Bombyx mori: one gene and its partners. The main gene of each other region encodes a partner of the protein of the gene in region 2 in a complex. Links are inferred from orthologs where the notes say so. Each region holds a gene or a part of one and is shown on either strand. Other genes may lie near its edges.

The links. Proteins that work in one complex are often made in the same cells at the same time.
Region 1: SAP domain-containing ribonucleoprotein (region 2) and THO complex subunit 5 homolog share a complex: the UniProt entries of both Homo sapiens proteins name them as parts of the transcription/export (TREX) complex. The link is inferred for Bombyx mori from reciprocal best matches to the Homo sapiens genes SARNP and THOC5.
Region 3: SAP domain-containing ribonucleoprotein (region 2) and THO complex subunit 2 share a complex: the UniProt entries of both Homo sapiens proteins name them as parts of the transcription/export (TREX) complex. The link is inferred for Bombyx mori from reciprocal best matches to the Homo sapiens genes SARNP and THOC2.
Region 4: SAP domain-containing ribonucleoprotein (region 2) and THO complex subunit 7 homolog share a complex: the UniProt entries of both Homo sapiens proteins name them as parts of the transcription/export (TREX) complex. The link is inferred for Bombyx mori from reciprocal best matches to the Homo sapiens genes SARNP and THOC7.

The regions. Positions count from the first base shown.
Region 1 is NC_085114.1:10,649,088-10,655,201, forward strand, and holds the start of THO complex subunit 5 homolog, read right to left. Parts: upstream 3,967-6,114; 5' UTR 3,899-3,966; intron 3,880-3,898; exon of another isoform or gene 3,614-3,879; intron 3,237-3,613; exon of another isoform or gene 2,626-3,236; intron 2,546-2,625; exon of another isoform or gene 2,532-2,545; 5' UTR 2,488-2,531; coding exon 2,389-2,487; intron 2,014-2,388; coding exon 1,876-2,013; intron 1,198-1,875; coding exon 907-1,197; intron 394-906; coding exon 54-393; intron 1-53. UniProt on the Homo sapiens protein: Component of the THO subcomplex of the TREX complex which is thought to couple mRNA transcription, processing and nuclear export, and which specifically associates with spliced mRNA and not with unspliced pre-mRNA.
Region 2 is NC_085113.1:6,730,273-6,735,081, reverse strand, and holds SAP domain-containing ribonucleoprotein, read right to left. Parts: upstream 2,669-4,809; coding exon 1,877-2,668; 3' UTR 1,785-1,876; downstream 1-1,784. Other genes in the region: S-adenosylmethionine sensor upstream of mTORC1, read left to right, coding at 806-1,753; uncharacterized protein LOC101742851, read left to right, coding at 4,520-4,642. UniProt on the Homo sapiens protein: Binds both single-stranded and double-stranded DNA with higher affinity for the single-stranded form. Specifically binds to scaffold/matrix attachment region DNA. Also binds single-stranded RNA. Enhances RNA unwinding activity of DDX39A.
Region 3 is NC_085119.1:9,004,344-9,009,905, forward strand, and holds part of THO complex subunit 2, read left to right. Parts: intron 1-49; coding exon 50-248; intron 249-334; coding exon 335-570; intron 571-999; coding exon 1,000-1,117; intron 1,118-1,186; coding exon 1,187-1,319; intron 1,320-1,392; coding exon 1,393-1,556; intron 1,557-1,905; coding exon 1,906-2,162; intron 2,163-2,241; coding exon 2,242-2,401; intron 2,402-3,082; coding exon 3,083-3,331; intron 3,332-4,417; coding exon 4,418-4,638; intron 4,639-4,904; coding exon 4,905-5,073; intron 5,074-5,146; coding exon 5,147-5,260; intron 5,261-5,562. UniProt on the Homo sapiens protein: Component of the THO subcomplex of the TREX complex which is thought to couple mRNA transcription, processing and nuclear export, and which specifically associates with spliced mRNA and not with unspliced pre-mRNA.
Region 4 is NC_085129.1:4,006,913-4,012,282, reverse strand, and holds THO complex subunit 7 homolog, read right to left. Parts: upstream 3,264-5,370; 5' UTR 2,801-3,263; coding exon 2,791-2,800; intron 2,717-2,790; coding exon 2,593-2,716; intron 2,217-2,592; coding exon 1,742-2,216; 3' UTR 1,667-1,741; downstream 1-1,666. Other genes in the region: solute carrier family 35 member F1, read left to right, coding at 4,793-4,844, 5,220-5,370. UniProt on the Homo sapiens protein: Component of the THO subcomplex of the TREX complex which is thought to couple mRNA transcription, processing and nuclear export, and which specifically associates with spliced mRNA and not with unspliced pre-mRNA.

The sequences.
Region 1 (6,114 bases), on a different chromosome or scaffold from region 2:
AAATCTATGAACTTTAAGATGCAATGAATATTTTGAGCTTTGAAATTGCTTACCAACACTAATAACTTTGCTTCCTAAAATATCAGAATATGCGTTTGCATTTTTAAATAGTAGGAATAGTGATGCTGGAAGCAAGCTTGCGGCCCTGGCTTCATCACGTTTTTCATCCAAGCGTAGAGCAAGACATTCTTGCAAAGGTTTAGTGGATTTCAAGACATCTTTCAGATGTGGAGCCAATGCATCAAGTCTAGAACGTGCAGCAGCAATGGCAGCTGCTACTCGTTCCTTGGAAGATATGAGTTCATTACAGGCTTCAGATAATTCACGACGTTGACGTAACTCCCACTCCAGTCGGGCTAATTGTAATTGATGTTCATCAGCCTTTGTGACCTCCTAAAATTTTACACATTGTCATATTGTTGAATTTGTCAGTACCATTACTGCAACAACTCATCTGATCAGTATCAAAGTTACAAGTACTCAGTATCAAGTGTCTGAGATATGTGTGGAATATGTCATATGTATATTTGTAAGGGGAAACAATGTGAATCATATGACTGGCACCCTCACCAGGACAGATTAAAAGCAGTCATACTTCTGTCATGCCTAACTTTCTACTAACCGTTATGATGCTACTCAGCACGATAGCGCTTTAATGTATAAAATGACAATTGGGATGCAATGCTATCGCCCAAAAACTTAGGTAAGCTCTTGGTCCTGAGTGCATGTATATGTTTTGAACTGTTTATATTATTGCAATTCAAGTTTGGCTTCAATATTTAAAAGAAATTCAGGATTTTAGCTACCTACAGCATTTTAGGGACAAAACTAAAAAAATATTCAGAGCTGAAACGGTTAAAATATGTACATTCAGATATCAGTTACACACTGTGAAAACATACTTACTGATCTAATAATATCAGGAGGTGCATTTTTATAGAATTCTTCAAGAGGCACAAGATCTATTTCTTCATCTTTAGATTTGAATTGTAAACATTTAGTTACTTCTTTGTTTAAGTGATCTGCTTCGTAAAGTAAATTTTGTAACAGTAAATGTGTGGAATCAACTCTCTGTTTCTCTTTATGGAGCGCATCACGACCAGCTCTAGTTCGTACTTTCTCCAGGCGATTTAATTTCTTTAACGCAACCAGCAGTAATGAAGCTTCCACTCTTTTTGCATTTATCTTTTCTTTAGCCTGTAATTATAACTTTTGCCTTAATTGCATTGTTCCATATTTTATATTATTTAACATTAATTACAATTCATAATATAATCTAATCATGTCCATTTTTTTTTTTTATTTGTCGAGCCGGGTGCCGAACCTCCTACGAGGTCCCCGCGTCTAGGGGGGTGTGGGACTTTACGATCTGGTAGTCAACACTACAACCAGACACGCGACGCCACCCTGAAGACGCCGGATCGACGAGTCCTCAATGCGACAGTCGACGACAACGAAGCCGGTCTCCGCGGTACGACAGCCCTGCCAGGCCGCCCGGGCGATGCCGCTGGTGTTCCGGGATACCCAGCTGGACCAGAACCAGCCTGCCGGGTCAGAACGCGATACTCCTGCAGACGACGAAGGCCACCCATACACAGGAAAGATGTCCCTCCCCCGGGTAACGACCAAAGTGTCGTCCGTGTAACAAGCTACGCTCAGACCCGGGAGAGGAGTGCTAAGGGCACCCCGCAGGACCCAGTTCGTAGCCGACATTCCACAAGAGAGGGCCAAGGACCGACCCCTGTGGGACACCACGCTCGACGGGAAAATGGAGCACCGCCCCACAGTGCCCGGTGCACACGGCCATCCTGTTCTCGAGGTAGGACCCGACTCTTATTATGTCCTGCATTAACTATTAATTGAAAAGTGGCATACCTCCAATGTTTCTTTAGTTTTTAACTCTGCAATCTCTTTAAAAAGTTGCCTTATGTCTTGGCATGTTTTATTGAAAAAGGCAGCATCCTTATCAGCTGGACGCAGATGAGCTTCAGCTTCTTCAAATTCAACAACACGCTGGAACAATCCATTTAAAACACATTTTGTAATGAATGAAGAATCTTGAAAAATAAAGACAATTTTTTTGGTGTACTGGGATCTTGTTCAGTTTACAACTTCTCTAAGTGTTAATATTAAACTTGTTTTGAAGATCACAAGATATTTCACGAACAGGATTCACTTAATTTTTATTTTTGTTAATAATAAGTTAAAACTGAAACAAAAACTTCAACAGAAAATATAAAAGCAACAGCTTGCTAAACCAGGAGCCACAAATATAAATTCTCATTTATTAGTAGAACTATGTACTTAAATTTACATTATTATACATATTTATGGTACAGAATAATGAGTCTTGAGGTTATGTTACATCTTATATATTTTGGTCAATACCTTGTATACATCAACGGGAACTGGCTTTGTTCCGTCATTTGATGTACTTGTATTTAATTTGCGCCGTTTCTTAACAGCCGTTACTTCTTCTTTTCCCATGTTTAGTTTTATTCAAGTTTATCAGATTTCATCCAAGTCTGGAACTTTAAAAAAATCACTAATTTAAACAGACAATTACAACCTTACTGCCTATTCACTCTATTCACTGGATTTGTTTTTATATATTAAAGCTTTTACTAGCATCGTTCACGGTAATGTTTGAATTATTTTTCTTTTAATGTTAGCCTTTAATTTGAAAGGTAGTCTTTAACTATGATTTTTTTTAAATTATACTTCATTATTGTACCTACTCAGCAATAGACATGCGTAGTTCCGGACCTAAATAGTTCCTGGAACTATGTCCTCATATGGAACTATATCATTCAATCCGAGTTGTCAAAATTAACATGTTCAGACAGTTCCATTTCCATTCCAAGTGTACTGTTATGCAGGAACTACGAACGCGTTGAACATGACGGACATGCGGACATGATTAGAGCATAGGTACCGCGCGGCGCGGAGGCGTGGCGCGGCGAGTCCACCCGAACGAGTCTCGAACCGACACGAGTCCACGTAAAGAGATAAGGCGACATATGGCACGAATACGAGAGAGTGAGATGGAGCGAGTGCATGAAACTGCGTGTGGAGCTCTTTCATATTACATTTTTATTAATATTGAAGTTATGCTCTACGACCTACGTGTTACAGTCGATAGTTGAATAAATTAAAATGTTTTGCTATGGATTTTGACCTTGACCATGCATCATTCCTACGAGCACTTAACCTTAAGTGTTTGTAGACCATTTCTTAGAAAATCATAATTCAAAATTCGAGAATTTTAAAACATTCACCACTTTCGCTATTCGGTATCTCGGTTATGGGAAAAAGGTTGTAAGGCTACAACGAGCTCAATTTACGTTGTATATCAGAATAACGTGGTATTTTAATTAACAACTGATAGGTTATAGTTTTCGGTGCATCGTACAATACCTACATTGAAAAATAATGAAAGTAGTAGAGTAGTTGAAATTATGACAAAGTAATTACAGTACATTAATAAATTATGCAACCAGCTGTAACAATGAACCTAAAACTAAAAACCTTACAAAATAATATTACAATAATAATTGCCATAAGCGGCAATCTATTTTTATATAGTGCTTTTAAAAAATTGTATTTTTAATACCTTTTTTGAAAAATATTGTGTAATTAATAATAACTTAATACGTGATTCGCTACACTACAAACAGTTACTAGACTTAACATGTCCGCGGAACTAAACAGCTTCAAACAGCTACTAGACTTAATATGTCCGCGGAACTAAACAGCTACAAACTACAAACAGCTACTAGACTTAACATGTTCGTGAAACTAAACAGTTCCGCGAACATGTTTACTGGAACTAGTTCCGACACTCAAAAGAACGATGTCATGTTCAATCCAGTTCCGAACATGATTAGCGCACGTCTACTCAGCAATAGCAACTCTCCATAAATGTCAGTAAATGTCAGTTAAGCATCCTCAAATATTACCTATGTGATAATCTATGTGTGCATCTCTCAGCTCATAGATTTCGACTTTTTGGCGGGAATGCGAGGAGTGAAGCTGTGTGATATGTTTTATTTTGTCTATTTGGTATTTCTTCAGGTTTGAATGTATGATAATGGTGGTTTATTACCTGTTTAGTATTTGCGAAAGGGCACAAATGTGGGAAAATGAAACAAAGTCGCTAGACGTAACTCCTCGGGATCCTCCAAAAAGTCCACTGAAAGAATCTCAGTAAATGACCACCATTTTACTGAGATCATAAATATTTCATCCCATATCATCTCATTTCATTTAATTTCATCCCAGTTGATTAGTTATCTAGTTTATTTTATATAAAATGACTATGATCCCTTTGCCTCTTTAAGTACACAAAACAAAGGACATTTGTTTTTGCTTTCCACCTTGAGAAGGTCAAAAATATCACTGCTGTAATCGCGCCAGCAACCAAATCCTTATATTTTGCCAAACCCGGCTTGTAAGGTGCAATTTTGTTAAATAAGGATATCGCTTAATTTAAGGTTTGTAATTTATTATTATTATGATGTGTATGGATTACAAAAAAGTGGAGTAGTGCAAAAATTTTCAATACAAAAAAATTAGATGCCGATCATTAGCCATCCAATTTTACGTAAATTTCATTGTATCCGTTGAAAATGACTAATTCTTAAACCCCGTGAGCGCAATGAATTTGTAATAAACATTTTAAATCAAAAAATATTTTAAAGTAGGAATTATGATTGTACAACCTATGTTTGACCTTGCCGGCGCATCTCATTCGATTAGCGTTAGCAATAGAAGTAAAAGTAATAGAATTAATCCTTTAATACCCTCAATCGATACAATAAATCTTTTTGCAGTATTCAAGGTAAGTCTCGTGACTAGGCTGTGTGCTTTGGAAATCAGAAGTAGTAATAAGTTGAAATAATGGGGTGTTTTATTAAGCAAATAAGAGTGTCAAGATCCTAAATGGGAAATTGGTGGTTGTATTTTAGGTCTCGGTGGTTCTATGTCTAAGATTTTAAAGGTTGCGTAAATTGCTGGATGTGGGCTATGTAAGACCAGTCATTGTGGTAAACCTTGCTTATATACAGCAGTAAATTTCTGTGGGCTGATGATCCTGAGGTCACTGGGTTTAAATCATACTTTCAATTTAATGACTTGTCCCATACATTTCTATCAACAGATGAACAAAAAAGATATCTGAAAAAATTGAAACTAAATTGCCAAATCTAAAATTCACATATACTAAGCATTATATAGAAATACAATAAAATAGTAATTTTGTATTGATTTAACCTTTAGGATCTATTAAAAATTAGTTTTTTGAGATTGAGATTGCAAGTTTTTTTCTGAACTAAATGAAAATTCAAAATTTCCATCAATTTTACACATCTTTTATTTTTGTAAATTGGACAAAGTCATTTGTCCTTTTATCAAGATAGATATACCGGTATACTTTAAGTGTCTTAACCATGTTGATGGGGCATGATGACTTCTAAACTACTGCCAGTGCTCTCCAAATAAAATGAAAAATTTTTTTTTTTCTAGAAAGTCTAGTTCAGTATTAAAAATGGTAATAAAATCAATCAAGGCTCGTCAAATCTTTGACTCTCGTGGCAACCCTACTGTGGAAGTTGATCTGGTAAGTTTTTTGTTACAAATTATCAACAACTAAATTACTGAAATTCTTTGAAAAATGTAAAGTACCTTTTAATTCTGTGAACAGGTAACAGAGCTTGGCTTGTTCCGGGCAGCTGTACCCTCTGGTGCATCCACTGGTGTTCATGAAGCTCTTGAACTAAGAGATAACATCAAGAGTGAATATCATGGCAAGGGAGTTTTGACCGCAATCAAAAATATCAATGAACTCATTGCTCCTGAACTTACAAAAGCCAACCTCGAAGTAACCCAACAGAGAGAGGTAATTATTTTTAAATCTCAAACAAGAGTAGATATTTCGAAAGGACTCAAAAAAAACTTGAGTGTGGTATTAACATTCAATTGAAGTGGAATTAATATTGATAGGATTTTCATATTAACAAGAAATGTATTTAATAGTTTAAAAATAATATTAAATATATTTAAAAAAGTATATGTCAGCTATGTAAACCTTTTAAATTAACAGATTGATGAACTCAT
Region 2 (4,809 bases):
AAATTATAAAAGATTAGAATGTATGGTATGATACCTTTGCCTAGTTGCAAAAATAGAACTCTACTCCAATTATTGGTCTGTGCAACAAGTACCTATGTACAGTGGACTTTTTGGCGGGAACGCGAGGAGTGAAGCTGTGTGATTTGCTTTTTGTCTATTTAGTGTTTCTTCAGGTTTAAATGTGTAATAATGGTGGTTTATTAACTGTTTAATATCTATGAAAGTGCACAAATGTGGGGAAATGAAACAAAGCCGCTGGACGTAACTTCTCGGGATCCTCCGAAAAAATCTCAGTAAATGACCACTATTTCATTGAGATTATATTTCATCCCATCATATCTTTTCATCTCATTTCATTTAATTTCATCCCAGTTGATTAATGTAAATTAATAATCTTCATTTCATTTCACTCCATATTACCATTATTCATAAAAATAAGAATTTATATTAAAATAAGACATGACCTAAAGGTATTAGTTACCAGATCATAAAATTCCTTAAGAAAAAAAATTAGTAGAGCTATGTACACTATGTATATACCTGTAAATCCTGTCATAATATAAACTTAACCTAATGTTAATAATATTATGAGTAATTAAGTATTAATTTTGTGCGACCTAATCTATCAGCGTTAATCATGCTTATAGAATAAAAAACAATACAGCATTACTGCTCGCGACTTTACTTTTACTTTCAACATATAGTCACAACAGCTGTTAATTAATAATTGTAACTATTGCTCTGTGTAAATAGAACATAAAAGCAATCGATTTGCTCTGAAAATTCAAGTATCTTTTTTAATAGAATGGCATCCGAAGAACAAAAAGCTTTATCTACATTTCTAAAAGATGTGCATTCTGCCCTAAGAAACTCCACAAGTCAAATCGGGGTCGAGAAAGCTTGGAAGGCACATAGCAAAAATACAGAGATCCTTAAAAAATATGCACAGTGTATGGAAAAATTGGCTACAACATATTGGGAACACAGTGAGACTATATCAAGAATAGATTGGACAGCAAAAATTTGTTATGAATATTTCATAAACAAAACTTACTTACATTACCGTGAACAAGAACAAAACATAGCAAATAAAATGCAACTAAAATTAAACACTGTAGAATCATTTTCAGAAGTACTGAAGTTGGTTGATGTTGGCAGTTGCTATAATCCTTTTAAGTTATATAATTATTTTGATGTTTTTGCTATTGATTTATGCCCTGCTAATGAGTCTGTATTACAGTGTGATTTTTTAGATACACCAATTGGCACTAGAACCGTAATTGAAGACAATAAAGTTAAAGAAATAGGAGAAAATAGCTATGAAAGTGTGACATTTTGTTTTTTATTAGAATATATTCCAACTTCCCAGCTTCGAATAACTGCATGTCAAAAAGCCTATGACATATTGAAACCTGGAGGGTTGCTTACTGTTACCACACCGGATTCAAAACACGTTGGAGCAAATAGCAAAACAATGAAGTGCTGGCGTTATGCATTAGCCTTAATGGGTTTTTCAAGAATTCGTTATCAGAAATTTCAACACATGCATTGTATGGCATTTCGAAAGTGTTTATTGAAAGATGTAGCTATTCGCTGGGCTAATATTCATAAAGAACCTTTTATGGAATATGCACTACATATACCACAAGATTTTAATACTAATGAAATTAGTAAAAATTCTGCCCAAAACCAAGTCATCCATCACATAATTGATGATTTTCAAGAATTGCCATTCTATAACATGAACGAATGATTTAATATGTAATTAAAATGCTTAACAAATATTGACTTAGTAGAATGTTTTATTTATTTAAAACAATACTTATATACTAATCTTAATTTGTTAGAGTAGACTTTCCATTATCAGAAACATGTTCTATGCAACAGCACCAAATTTGGCTTTACGTTTTTCCAATTTCTCCTTTAGTTCAATATCTGTCATTATTTTGGAAACAGATTCACCAAACCTCTCTGCTCGCTTTCTAAGTTTTTCCATATTTTCGTTTAACGTCCCTGTACTAGTGAAGGTGTTCTGATTATCATTTTGATTAAACCTTTGTTTCCTGGCTTCCTTTCTCTCAGACTCGGACATTTTAATAGGCAAACCAAATCTTTTAGCACGCAACTCTAACCTTTTCTTTGGATCTAGATCAGTATTTATTTTAATGACATTATTACTTTCGGATGCCGTTTTCGGCTCTACAGATTTTTCATTAATTTGATCATCAACAGTTTTAGAACTGACAAGTGAAATTGATGAGGGTCTATTCAACACAATTTTCTTTGCACTAGCATTTTCTGCACTTTTATCTTTGGTTTCTGCGTTGGTTTTGCGTTTTAATGTTCGTGTTGATTTTGTTTCTACAGCGATTGTCGCAGTAGAAGACTGTTCCGAAAGAACTAAATCTTCGTTTAAAGTGTCCACGGCAGTATCATCAAGTACGTCTGTTTGGCTTTTAACTTCTTCGTCTTCAAAAACTCCGTCCGAGTCCATTTCGTCAAATTCAAAGTTGATGTCGGTGTGTTCATCTTGAGATATAATTGCAGCTTGTAGTCTAGCGATTAACTCTGCTTTGTCGCCGGCGTATGAAAGTCCACGTGATTTTAATTCTTTACGTAGTTCAACAACTTTCATCTTAGTCACATCGGAAACTGTTGAATCCGCCATAGTAATCAAAAGTAGTTTACGTTATTGAACAAGGAACTTTTAGAATGCTTACACGCGATGCTTAGCGTTAGCTTACACTAGAAATTAGAAATACGAAGTGTATAATCTATGTTCACTACTTTTTTTAAGAGATTTTATGACCTGGTAACTAACACTTTTAGGTCATGTCCTACTTTAATATTTAATATTCTTAATTTTATGAAAAATTATATGGAGTAAAATGAAATTAAGTGAAGATGATTAATTTGAGACATTAATCAACCAGAATGAAATTAAATTAAATAAGATGAGATGATATGAGATGAAATAAATCTTAGTCAAATATTTACGGAGATTTTATCAGTTGACTTTTTGGAGGATCCCGAGAAGTTACGTCCAGCGGCTTTATTTCATTTTCCCACATTTTTGCACTTTCACAGATATTAAACAGTTAATAAACCACCGTTATTACACATAACGGCCATCTGGTGTAGTGGTAAGTGACATGGTCACTACACAAGGGGGTCGCGGGTTCGAATCCCGCCAAGGGAAGATATTTGTATGATAAATATAAATGTCTTTTCCAGGGTTATGGATGTATATTAAATATATGTATGCGTATAATAAAAATCTTACATTTAAATCCGTTATCTGGTACCTGTAACACAAGTTCTTTACGAACTTATCACGGGACCAGTTAACGTGGCGTGATTGTTAGTAAATATTTATTTATTATTATTTATTATTTAAACCTGAAGAAACACTAAATAGACAAAATTAATCAAATCACACAACTTCACTCCTCGCGTTCCCGCCAAAAAGTCAGTTAGATTACAACGTAAAATGGAGCATAGATTACACGCTTAATTAAAATAGCTGCGAAATTTACACAACAACGTAAGTACCTGACAGACTAAAAGAGGGTAGAAGTTTAAACAGCACAATCTCTGAAAAAATGTGTGGAAAAGTGATTAAATGACTTTTTTACCGGGAACCCGGCATTGTGTGAATTGATTAATTTTATTTAATTTAGAATTTCATTTCGTCATGCTTAAACGTGTTATTACGGCAGCTTAAATTCCGATCCGGTGATAGATTCTGCGAAACACTCCTCTTGCTAGAGCTAGTATTAACAAACTTTCTCAGATTGAGCAGGTTGTAAGTTCACCCATCCGCGAGAACCTGGAATAGGTAGGGAAAACATTTATGTAATTAATAAGTACAAAATCTCTAAAAAATGTTCCAATTATACGCCGTATTTCTAATCAAGTGATATTAAGAGTGTTCATGTCGTAACTACGTTCATGCTTTGAAATTAGAAAAAACTTGAGTCTATCCAAATGATCGGAAATCGGAATAAAGTTCACAATAGAGTCATACAGTCATACACAGAGCATTTAGAAAGATAGGCGAAAGTTTCTATTTGATTAAAGCCAATGAGGACGTAATTTGACTACAAACAAAGGTTGAAAAATTTATTAAATGTATTAGTATGTAATTTTAAAATATTTTTCATAAAGAATTGGTTGCCTGTAATCAGCGACACTATTCAGTTATGTGATTTTATTTAAAAAAAATGGTCGAAGCCCATTCATAGATAAAGATAATCCTTTTTAAATCACTTAGTTATTGTGGAGTTTCTTCCGTCAGGATTATAGTGTAGGTAGGTATGTAGTCTTTGGTTATGCATTAAATTTCCGTGCGAAATTTCAATTCATATCATAACATTAGAGGGTAGCTACTTATTTAAAATTTCAATGAAAATCCAGTTTGATGGGCATAGATAATACCTACATTTAATAGAAGATTTATGGGTAGTTTTTAAAAGTAACGATACGCGACTACTGTCGTCAATTCAACTCTGTAACCATAATGGACGGTGCAATCAATAATGATGATCAAGATCAAATTGTGGAGCAACTTCTTAGTGAATACGACGAAATAATTATGCCTCTGCCGGCGTATGCGTCTGAACCTCACCTTCTAATTTCTCGGGTATAATTACTTTCAATAATAAATTTATAAAAAATTAGATTCACTACAAATCTATGGCAATTTTATCTGTTGAGTAACTTAATTACTAAGGTAAAATGAATGCATCGAAACACCGGAACAAAAATAAGATAAAACAATGTTTAAAACGAAATTACATTAAATCGTCT
Region 3 (5,562 bases), on a different chromosome or scaffold from region 2:
TAAATTACATAAATCTTGATGTTTATTTTATTTTGCAAACTTATTTAAGATACTGTCTCTATGCGCGTTGGAAAAATGAGGCTGGCGAACGAATACCTGCTCTCATTCGTGTCCGGGGGAACTCATTGCAGAAAATAAAACACATAATGAAACGAGTATCCAAAGAGAATATCAAGCCCCAAGGTCGTCTCATCGGGAAACTGTCGCACGCCGCCCCGGCCTTTCTGTTTGATTACGTGCTCTTGCAGGTAATTGGCATTCAGTCCATAAAACAGTTTTACTTCTTCCTTTAATGTTTTATGAATGTGCTATAAAACAATAATTTCTGTTCCAGATACAAACATACGACAATCTGATAGGACCAGTAGTAGAATCCATGAAATATTTGACGTCTCTATCTTTAGATGTTCTGGGATACTGTTTAGTTGAGGCTTTAGGCTCTCGACGTTCGACGCCACCTGCGTGGCTACAAGCACTAGCCTCGTTCGCCGGGGCAGCCTTCAAGAAACACAATATTGAGTTAACTGCTCTTTTGCAGTTTGTTGCTAATCGACTCAAAGCTCAACAGAGGTATGCATTCGGTTACAAAGTATTGTTAGGCGCTGGTGTTCGGAATAAATAAAACTTCCACCGAAGTACAAATTCAAATTCTATTTAACACTTAAAACACTTACACTTCAGGTAATCCGTTCGCCGTTTCGCTTCGAGTAGATTCGGTTACTAATTAATTCTGGGTCATCTCTGCAATGCTTTTATAGTAGATACCACATCCCTAGAATTTTGTTATCGAGAACATACCTGACAAGTCGAGTAGTTTCAATATGTGCTATAATATGTGCTATTTGACTATAGATAGCGTTGTACTTCTTGAGCGTTCTCGATTTTATAAGTTCTTTTAATATTCGTTTCTGCTATTCGACGATAGATGGCGATGCTCTTACCGGCGTAACAGTATGAACAACGAAGATTCGCAATGTAATAAAAATCATATATTTTCAGTCAAGACCTGATAGTATTAAAAGAAATAGTACAAAAAATGGCCGGTATAGAAGCTGCTGAGGAAATGACACCCGAGCAGTTAGAGGCTATGGCAGGAGGTGAACTACTTAAAGGAGAGGTAAAAAAATATTAAGCTGAAGCTAAATCTGATTTTTTGTTCAGTTATTCAAATCACACATTTGTACAGGCTGGTTACTTTTCACAAGTGCGTAACACGAGACGCTCTTCTGCGCGACTGAAAGATGCCATAGTCGGAAACAACTTAGACATATCTCTTTGTATATTGGCGGCGCAACAGAGACATTGTTGTGTTTGGAAAGGTAAATGAATACATCAAATAATACAGTGCTTTTGAGTGAATAATAAGTAAATAAAATATATTGTTATTCCCAGAATACGAAGATGACATTCAAATAAGTGGCGAACCTCCAGGGTCCCAGCTAAAGGTGGTGGGTAGATTGGCAGACCAATGTCAGGATGCTCTGGTTCAGCTTGGTACATTCTTAGCATCGTCACATGCTCCCGATGAATATGCGGCGAGGCTGCCATCGTTACAGGTAATTAATTGAATTCCTAATAAAGTTAATGAGTAGTTACTGCTATTAGGGAGCATAGTGAAGTGTCACCATCCTTCCCATTGCGACCTCTGAACAGTCTTGCAGAAGGGTGGTGCAGCCGTTACATACAATACAATTAAGACTTTATCTCAAGTTGGTGTAATGCATTGATATTGTGCTTAACGGGCTTCGGTTGTAACTACTTCGTACCAGGTGCATTGTGAGCTCGTCGGCCATGAGTAAGACAGAGAGTTAGTATTATAGTAACGCTCAGAAGAGTCAATACTACGAGGCAGTTGTAAACTTTTTGTTAATTTTAGTTTATTTAAATTTGGTTAATTTTACTTAGGAACTGCTGCGTGATTACCATGTAGATGCAGATGTCGCATTCTTTTTGCATCGTCCAGTTATAAACCAAAAGATATCCGCCAAGTTGGAATCTTTACGTAAAGCATCGGACAGCAAATCGGATTCAATAGAGAAGATTATAGAAAGATACAATGTGGCATCAAAGGAAGCCTTGGAGCCTATTGTATCGTCGATACAACCGATGCTGCCTGCGAGGGTTTTAGAAGACATTTCGCCTGAGTTTTACGTTACATTCTGGTTTGTAGAAAAGTTAATAAATAATTTTTATTTAGTACGATTAGAGACATCTGTTTTTAAGTTAAAATAATTTTGTTAGGTCATTATCCATGTACGATCTTCGAGTGCCGGTCGAAAGTTACGAGAGGGAAATAGAACGCTTAAAAACAGCAGCAGCTAACGTCAGCAAGGATTCGTCTCAAGGAACCAAAGTTAAGAAAGAACAGGAACGTTTCAATACGCTCATCGAAAAACTACAGGTAAGATATAAATATTAATGTTTCTTATTTTAATAAAAACTAACAAAGGATATCAACTCAAGGGCATTCATAAATGTTGAACTTACTGATTGTACATTAACAATTCTTAATTCAATTGGAATGAAATCTCGCACAGATTATTCCAGTGTTTATGTATATTGCCTTTTTTCCTTATTGTCCTTGTCTATAAGTTTTTTGCACAAACATTTAATAATATTAAATTACCAAAAATTAAAAAAAATTCTAATTTATGCAGAGTATTACATATATATTCTGCACACAGACTGAAAACAGTTTTTTTTACAGTTATTTGGCCAAATATATGGTATTCAGCCTTGTCCGTAGTTGGCCCGTGAGATGCGTTAAATACTCCCAGAAATGTTTACCTCATCCTTTTTCTTTTTTTTTATTGTCCGAGCAGGCAGACGAGCTTACGGCCCGTAAGTGGTTACCGTCGCTCATGGACGTCAGCAATACCAAAAGTTCCACATGGTACTGGTTTTTTCTCCTACCTATTCTGATAGTCTTGAGAGGCTATTTCCGCTACACCCTAACGTGTGTAGGTGACCCACTGAGAAGATCCGGCGAGAAACTCAGTGGGCAAATGGTACTGTCGTGACAGATGTCACCTACCTTAGATTAGACTAGAGGCGGAAGTGTCAGTAAGCATTTGGTCTGCAGGAGGAGCGGCGCCGACAGGCCGCGCACGTGGCGGCGGTGCGGGCGCGGCTGGCGCGCGAGTGCGAGGACTGGTTCCCGGCGCGGGCGGTCCGCTCCGCCAAGAACGAGACCGTGACGCGGCTCATGCAGCTGTGCATATTCCCGCGCTGCGTGTTCACGGCGGCCGATGCCCTCTACTGCGCCGAGTTCGTGCATACCGTGCACTCTCTGAAGACTCCCAATTTCTCCACTCTTCTGTGTTATGATAGAGTGAGTAGACTGCGAAGAAATTATTATTATTTTTGCACATTTAAAATCATACAAACCGTTTTTTTATTTTAAACAATAGTTTGCGACACCAGCGCCGTACACATCATTAATCCTTCGAGCTGTTTCTGCAGCACTGGTGCCACGGTAGAACTCGTACTCGTAAATATACCGATATTTCATGTTTTCCATTGTGCGGTAATATGCGACGCCAAACAAAAAAAAATTTATGAGGAAAAAACAAATGAATGACTGTTTTCAAAACCTACATGTACCAGCTAAATGAATTTATAAATTTGAATTTGAAATTCTTAACCAAAGAGGAGATATTACAGATCAAAGTGATCAATACGAAAAAACGATAATTTCATATGTAAGGACCTAATATATACAACGTTTTGCGAAAGAGTTTAATTAGGTACTCAATAAATTTATTAATAGTGTTTCAAGAGGTTTGTTACCCTTCAGGTTCATCATCGACTCCGCATCTCTCAAGTTCATGATGATAAAATATAAAATTAGAAGTGAGTTTAAATTCATTTTAAAGAAAACACTACATTCATGCAAAGTACAAGTCAAATTATTAGATAGCATACAATACTAACTTTGGCAAATTGTAAATCATTCGTCATCTTGTGCGATGCATTTCGGATTATGTACAAATTACGATCAATCGACCATAGATGGCGATAGAAGCTTTAGGAGCAAGTGGGAAACGTGCGGCAAAGCGTTGTCGAGATTTATTATTAATGAATATTAAGACATTTATCAAGTGATTAATTTTTTTTTTATTACGATTGCTAAATTTTTCTATTTTAATTATAAGAGTTTTTTTTTGTTGCTTAGATGGTGGATGAGCTCACAGCCCACTTGGTGTTAAGGTGTTACTGGACATTAGATAGACATTTACGACTTAAATGCGCCACCCACCTTGAGATATCAGTTCTAATGTCTCAGTATAGTTACAACAGCTGCCCCGCCGTTCAAACAGGAACGCTTGCTGCTTCACGGCAGAAATAGGCAGGGTGGTGGTACCTAGCCGTGCGGATTGCGAAGACATATTTGACTGAAAAATGAATTTGCCCGCAGTTGTTTTGCGACATCACGTATTCGGTGATGTCTTGCACGGAGGCGGAGGCGGCGCGGTACGGCACGTTCCTCTGCAAGGTGCTGACGACCGCCATGCGCTGGCACGCCGACAAGGACGCCTTCCACCGAGAGTGCGCGCACTACCCCGGCTTCGTCACCAAGTACCGCGTCTCCAAGCAGTTCACTGAAGCTAATGATCATGTCGGATATGAAAACTACAGGTGGACTACATTTCTGCAATACTGTGATCTGATCTTACTGCATGATTAATGTGTTTGCATGAAAATGCTTAAGTCTGAATTGATAAAGTGGTAGACACAAAATCATGAAAGCTTTCGAAAAAGCAACCGAAAATCTTCTGGTGATCTAATATGTTAATATAAACTTATATCGTTCACTCTTTGAATACTTCAAATTAATTCGTAAAAAAATCGATAACTCGTAATCGATACTTCGAATGTTCACTAATCATGTAATCGGTTTTCAGGCACGTGTGCCACAAATGGCATTATAAAATAACCAAAGCAATGGTTGTTTGCTTGGATTCAGGCGACTACGTGCAAATACGTAACGCCCTCATAGTTCTAATAAGAGTCTTACCTCATTTTCCTGTTCTGGCTAAGCTAAGTCAAATTATCGAAAAGAAAATTGATAAGGTATTATTTGGTATCGTACGTTTAACCAAATTTCCAACAAGACAAAGTAAATCTTAACAGTGATTATTTGCAGGTTAAGGAACAAGAGAAAATACAAAGACAAGATCTTTATGTGTTAGCAACGGTCTACAGTGGACAGCTACGGAACAAGTCCTCGAATATGATGAATGAAGCTGATTTCCATCAGGTAACATTTTGCTATCATCTATAGGCGGATTTGTACAAAGACAGGTTCTCGATAGTGAAATGACGACAAGTAGTACAGAAGAGACTTTCCTAATATAAACTTTGGGTTTGTCACTTGAAAGACCGTGTGGAAGCGCTGTACAGCCATTGCTTACCCTCGGTACAGTTGAAGTCGACAAGCATACTCTGTGTGCACACGAGTGATAGAACGGAAATGGCGTAATGATAATATTTTTGTTTGTATCAGAGAAACTTTTTATTAATCAAGCAGCCGTTAGTTCGAACTTTATGCTACTGAAGAAC
Region 4 (5,370 bases), on a different chromosome or scaffold from region 2:
AAAAATTTAAGAAAAAAAAGTCGAATTGAGAACATCTTCCTTTTTTGAAGTCGGTTAAAAACAAGTGAATTATTCGTAAGAGTAAAAAATACACAGAATTTTAGTTACGGGCCGGAATATTAAATTACATTCGGGGTGTTTGTGCGCGTTAATGTTGTTAGTACAGGACCTTTTCTAGACTCCGGGGTGTACCTTAAATCATTATTTAGGTAAATACTCGTATACATAAATATATTATACATATACTACATATACTATACCTACTTAGTACCTGCGCTTAATGAGGCTTTCGACACGCAACACAGATTAGGTCTGTTGCGAACTTAACTACTCTAACTCTGCTGTTTCACCTTGAAATAATTGTAGTATATTATTCAGTTTTTGCCCCATAGACACAGCCCACTGAGTTTCTCGCCGGACCTTCTCAATGGATCGCAATCAGGTCGTGAATTCAGCGAAGCACTACTCTTGCTAAAGCTAGTGTTAGCCAATTCTCTCGGATTGAGCCTGTGAGCTCACCGAACCGTCCGCACTTAGCTGGAATAGCTTCTTAAGCTTTCAGCGAATAGGCAGAGAAAAGTTTTCGCGAATCGCAGACACAACTACAACTACTTTTAAGGTTTAATCTGACTTTTTTCTGTTATTATACTATTTCCTATGTTTCGAAGATTTACAGCCTTAGTGGTCACGGTCTACTGACGATTATAAAGCACTTTATTGATGACAAATTAATTTAAACCATTTAATGTTTGCTTAAATAGGGCGTGTTTTCTATTTATTGGTGTACATCGTCCAAAGAATTTACGATCTATCTAGTGTTAAGCGGTTGTAGTTCTGAATGGATGGTAGCCATTTGGCTGTCCCTATGGCGTTGTAAAGACCACAAACGACGGAACACTTTTTAACAATTAATCATATATCTCGATCACCACCGGTTAGCTTTTTTATTGGAAGTTTGGTATTCTATTATAAATTTTTTGCTATTTCTTTCAACCAGATATTTTCTGGGATTTTTGATGTGACAACACTTTCACGACTTGATTACATACCGTAGGTAAACCTTATAGAAACCATTTAAAACAAAAAAAAGGTATTTGCGATTCATAATTTAATGTTTGCATTAGATCACTATGTAGTGTGACTTTTGGACAAGTCATGAAAACAACAAAGGATCTACCAGGCAAAGCCTAGCTAAACTATCCTAATCCTAAACCTAGGACTTTAACCTACATCTAAACCTAATCCTAAACCTAAGAATCCTCGCAACGAAAAAGATCGGACCATACCTCTGGGAATGTCGCCCAGAGGATCCCGTGATCCGCCACCCACGGACGCGCCTGGTGGAAGTCCAGCATCTCCCCCGCAGACGAGACCCACAGCACGCAATCATTGCGGGCTGAAGGTCCCGTCCAGATCGCGGGCCCCTACGTAACCTGATTCAACCCCAAAGCCAAGGTGAATGGGGTCAAGCTATTTTTTTCAGTTTTTGTGTATTTTTGTAGTGAACAATGTATAGTAACGCATTGTATATAAATATTTAAGCCTCCAGAACCATTATGATCTCCGTTTTATTACTAAAACAAAAAAAAACTATACAAATCAATGTCGAACTTAAAAAGTGTCCCAATTCTCCCCATTTTACAGTACTGAAAATGTAAACAAAAAATCAAGTAGAAAATTCATACTTTATTAGAAATCTCACATAGAGAAATAATCTTATACTCTAATACATCACTCATTATTATGATTCATTTGATATTTCTTTCATATCAACATCATCACAAATAGTCTCTGCATCATCTAGTTCATCTAATAATGCTTGTAATTGATGTATTGAAGTTACAAGCACATGAAATTGTTTCTTTCGTAATGCTAACCGACTTTCCAATTGCTGTTTGGTGGTTTCCAAGTTTGCTAGTTCAGTCTTCAGAGTGCTCAATCTCTCAGAGGTTTCCTTACGATCAGGCTGTTCACTGATAACCTTAGCCAAGACATCATATTCTATTCTGTTTTTTCTGACAGTCTTTGCTTGTGCTAAATCTGTTTTGCTCTTCTGTATGTTCTCTTTGGCCACCTCTATTCCGCTTTCTAGAATTTTCGAGAGTGCTTCGTAGCTTTTTAATTCAGCAGCCATCATTTCAGAACCGAGTTGCGATTTTGTGACAGCAAATTCGCATTGTGCCAGTTGAGCTAACATACGATCATGAGTAGCTTTACTAAAACGAGAAATCTTAATCGTATTACATATTCTGGAACTACAAAAACTTACATTTTGACTGCAGATTTTTATTCTCATAATAAAACAACAAATGTATATGGGGAATAAATGAAAAGGTTAATGAACACTTAATTGAATATTAAGGCTCTTTATTATAGATAAACAGATGCCAACATTTCCCTGCTGGTATTAAATGCTTACCAGAACCTTTGGGACACGAGATAGAAGTTTCAATTGAATTTACAATGGCAATTCTACCCTTCAAATTGGAAGCTATGATCAATGCGGAAGCTATGATAATTCGGAAGTGGAACAGTGTTTACGCATGTGAGCTCACAATACGTCCTAATACGGTACTATTTATTAAAACCAACCTTTCTTCCGGTTTGTCATCCGTTGTATTGCACCATTTTATCAAAGTTTTTAAAAGTACATTCAGTCTCCTGTCGTCTCCAGTACCGTCACCGTCGATCAGAAGTCTTCTACGAATCACATCTTCTGGAAATAACCAATGAGTATTGAAATAGTATTTGTTTTTGAGTAGTTTTGTATTCTTAGGTAAAGTTATTTACCGTCACCCATTATGTTTGGAGTAAAATTCAAATGAAATTATGATCTCGTCCGAGTTTGCCTTATAAATTGTTAGGTAATGTTTTTATTCTACAAAATAATCTTATCATAAGCGAATTCAAATTTATCCTTGTTCTTTATATGTAAGTGCTAACTTGTGTGTTTTATTTACAAAAATCAAGAAAAATTAAAAATATTTTATCTCCAAATTTTGGCAGGTTAAATTATTAATAAAAAAAAAGTTTTTTTTATCCAACTCATAGGCAAAGGAGACATTCTCATAAGTTAAAAATGCTCTTCTTTTTATCTAAATATTTTACGACAAAGCCTGAAATCATATCTGTTGCATAAAAAATGAAATGATATAAATAAGACGATAACTATTTTTATATTTAAAGATGAAGAAAACTAAACTAAATAAAACATTCACACAGTATTACAACTTTACTATTTCACATTCCTGTCAAAATTGATTGAAACAAAATTGCTGACCGTGGTTTCTTGAGATCTCAAAATTTAATTGAACGCTGATTAAATTCTTAAGATTTTAAGAACACAAAGCTTAACCTTTTTATTTTAATTAAAAGATTTTGATCGGCTATTTTCCCTTTGCTCATTCAATGGACGAAAGAAAACCACAGACTATTATGAGATGCCTGCCAAACAAGAAAAAAAAACAGATGTCACAACCACAATTCACATGTTGTTTTGCCTTTCGAATTTCGATCCATTGTTCAGGAAATGATGAATAACTGCTATATTAAACCCTTTAAACTATTGAATCTATTTTAACAGTAAATTAGCTGAGTAAACTTTCGGAATATCTTTCACTGAAACAATGGAAACGTCAAGTTTCAGTGATAAAGTCGAGATTTATTTCTCGGAACTTGGGCGATGGCTAGTATCAATAAATAAATAAATAAAATATTTTTTGGGTAAACGTCCTTAAACTAACTAAGTGTGCATTTTCAGGAAAGTGTGGAGGAGCATACTGCTTGGTCAAGTGTTATCCTTATTTCTGAGCGGCAAATGTATATTAACAACAATGTTACAAAGCGCAACCTGGCAGTTTCCTATCACGGGGCAGCTGGTCGTGCCGTATTTAGTACTGTTTGTACTCTTTACCCCGAGCCTACTTTGTACCGGGCTGGAGAAGCTAACGAAGTAAGTTCCAATTCAATTTTAAGACATGAAAAATATCGTCTTTTAAACCAGTTCTATTATTGAAAGAAGTATAAGACAAGACTAAAATAATTAAACTTACTAGGTACTATTACTATCTTATGTTCAATGGTGAGTGCGCTAAGTTTTCTTAATATCTTCTTACTACAAATGTGGAAGTAACCAATATTTAAATCTAACTATAAAATGTTACATTTATCGAGATAATTTTCTCTTATTCTTTTGCTTTGGGATAACTTCCCGCTCTACTCTTTTTATTAGTCAGCAAAATAAAGTATAAAAACATTTCTTAATTCAAGCTAGTATCAGCTGTGACATGTTGGAAAGCTCTGTGCATTCTGTTGTGTGTTTTGCTTTTTTCTTTATTAATACAAGAAATGGAATGGTAGCTGGCCTAATTAACCTTTAAATTTTCAATGTTCAATTCAAAGATGACTGTCTGAATAGATAGTTAAATAAAAAAGTAAATGTTAAATAATAATCAAGTATTTCTACTTAAAAAAGAGATGAAACAAAAAAATAATTACATACCTAGGTATAGAAATCATGTATTTCATTTCAATAAAAGATTCCATATTTAGTAGTTAATTGGGCAATGCAACTAATGAAATGAATTTTGTTGTTAGAAGATGGTGGGTACTCATCATTGCCTGTGTTCTTGACGTGGAAGCTGGCTGGCTGCTAGTCATGTCACAGAGGTTTACATCAGTGTTGAGCTGACAGCTGTTAGCATGCAGTGGTGTTGGTGCAGCACTGGTCGGTGGTGCTTGGAGTGGTCAGAGACTTGGTGTTTCTCATGTTGCTGGAGCCACCCTTGGCCTGATGGCTGTAGTCTGCGTTGTGTGGGCTGATGTTGAGGGTGCTCCTACTGATGGTAACATTCTTTCATTCTTAGGTAGATTGGTAACATTTTTATTGATGTCCCTGATGAGTGAATCTAATTAGACAATAAACACACAGTAGAGTGGTTACTGTTATAAAGTGGTTACCAGGTTATACTAGTGCAATGCCAACTTAAGTTGTCCTAGCTTTTGCTAGCATAATTGAATATTACTTTAAATTGCTTGGAAAATAATTTAATTACTTTGATTGGAGTAATATTTTTTTGTGTATTACAATGTTTTTGTCGTAATTAATAATGTAATTGAAGTACTTGTTGTGTTTATTTGATGCATGTGTACCCTTTATTAAATCATGCAGTTACTGAAATAAGTTAAAATATTCTGAAAATGAATTTGATATTTTTCAGGTAAAAATCAACTAGTAGGCGATATGCTATGCCTTGGTGGATCATTATTGTTTGCAACAGTCACAGTGCTTCAAGAACTGATGCTCAAAACTCATACATGCTCAGACTATTTAGCGATCCTCGGTATTGTGGGTAGCTTTGTATCTTGCAC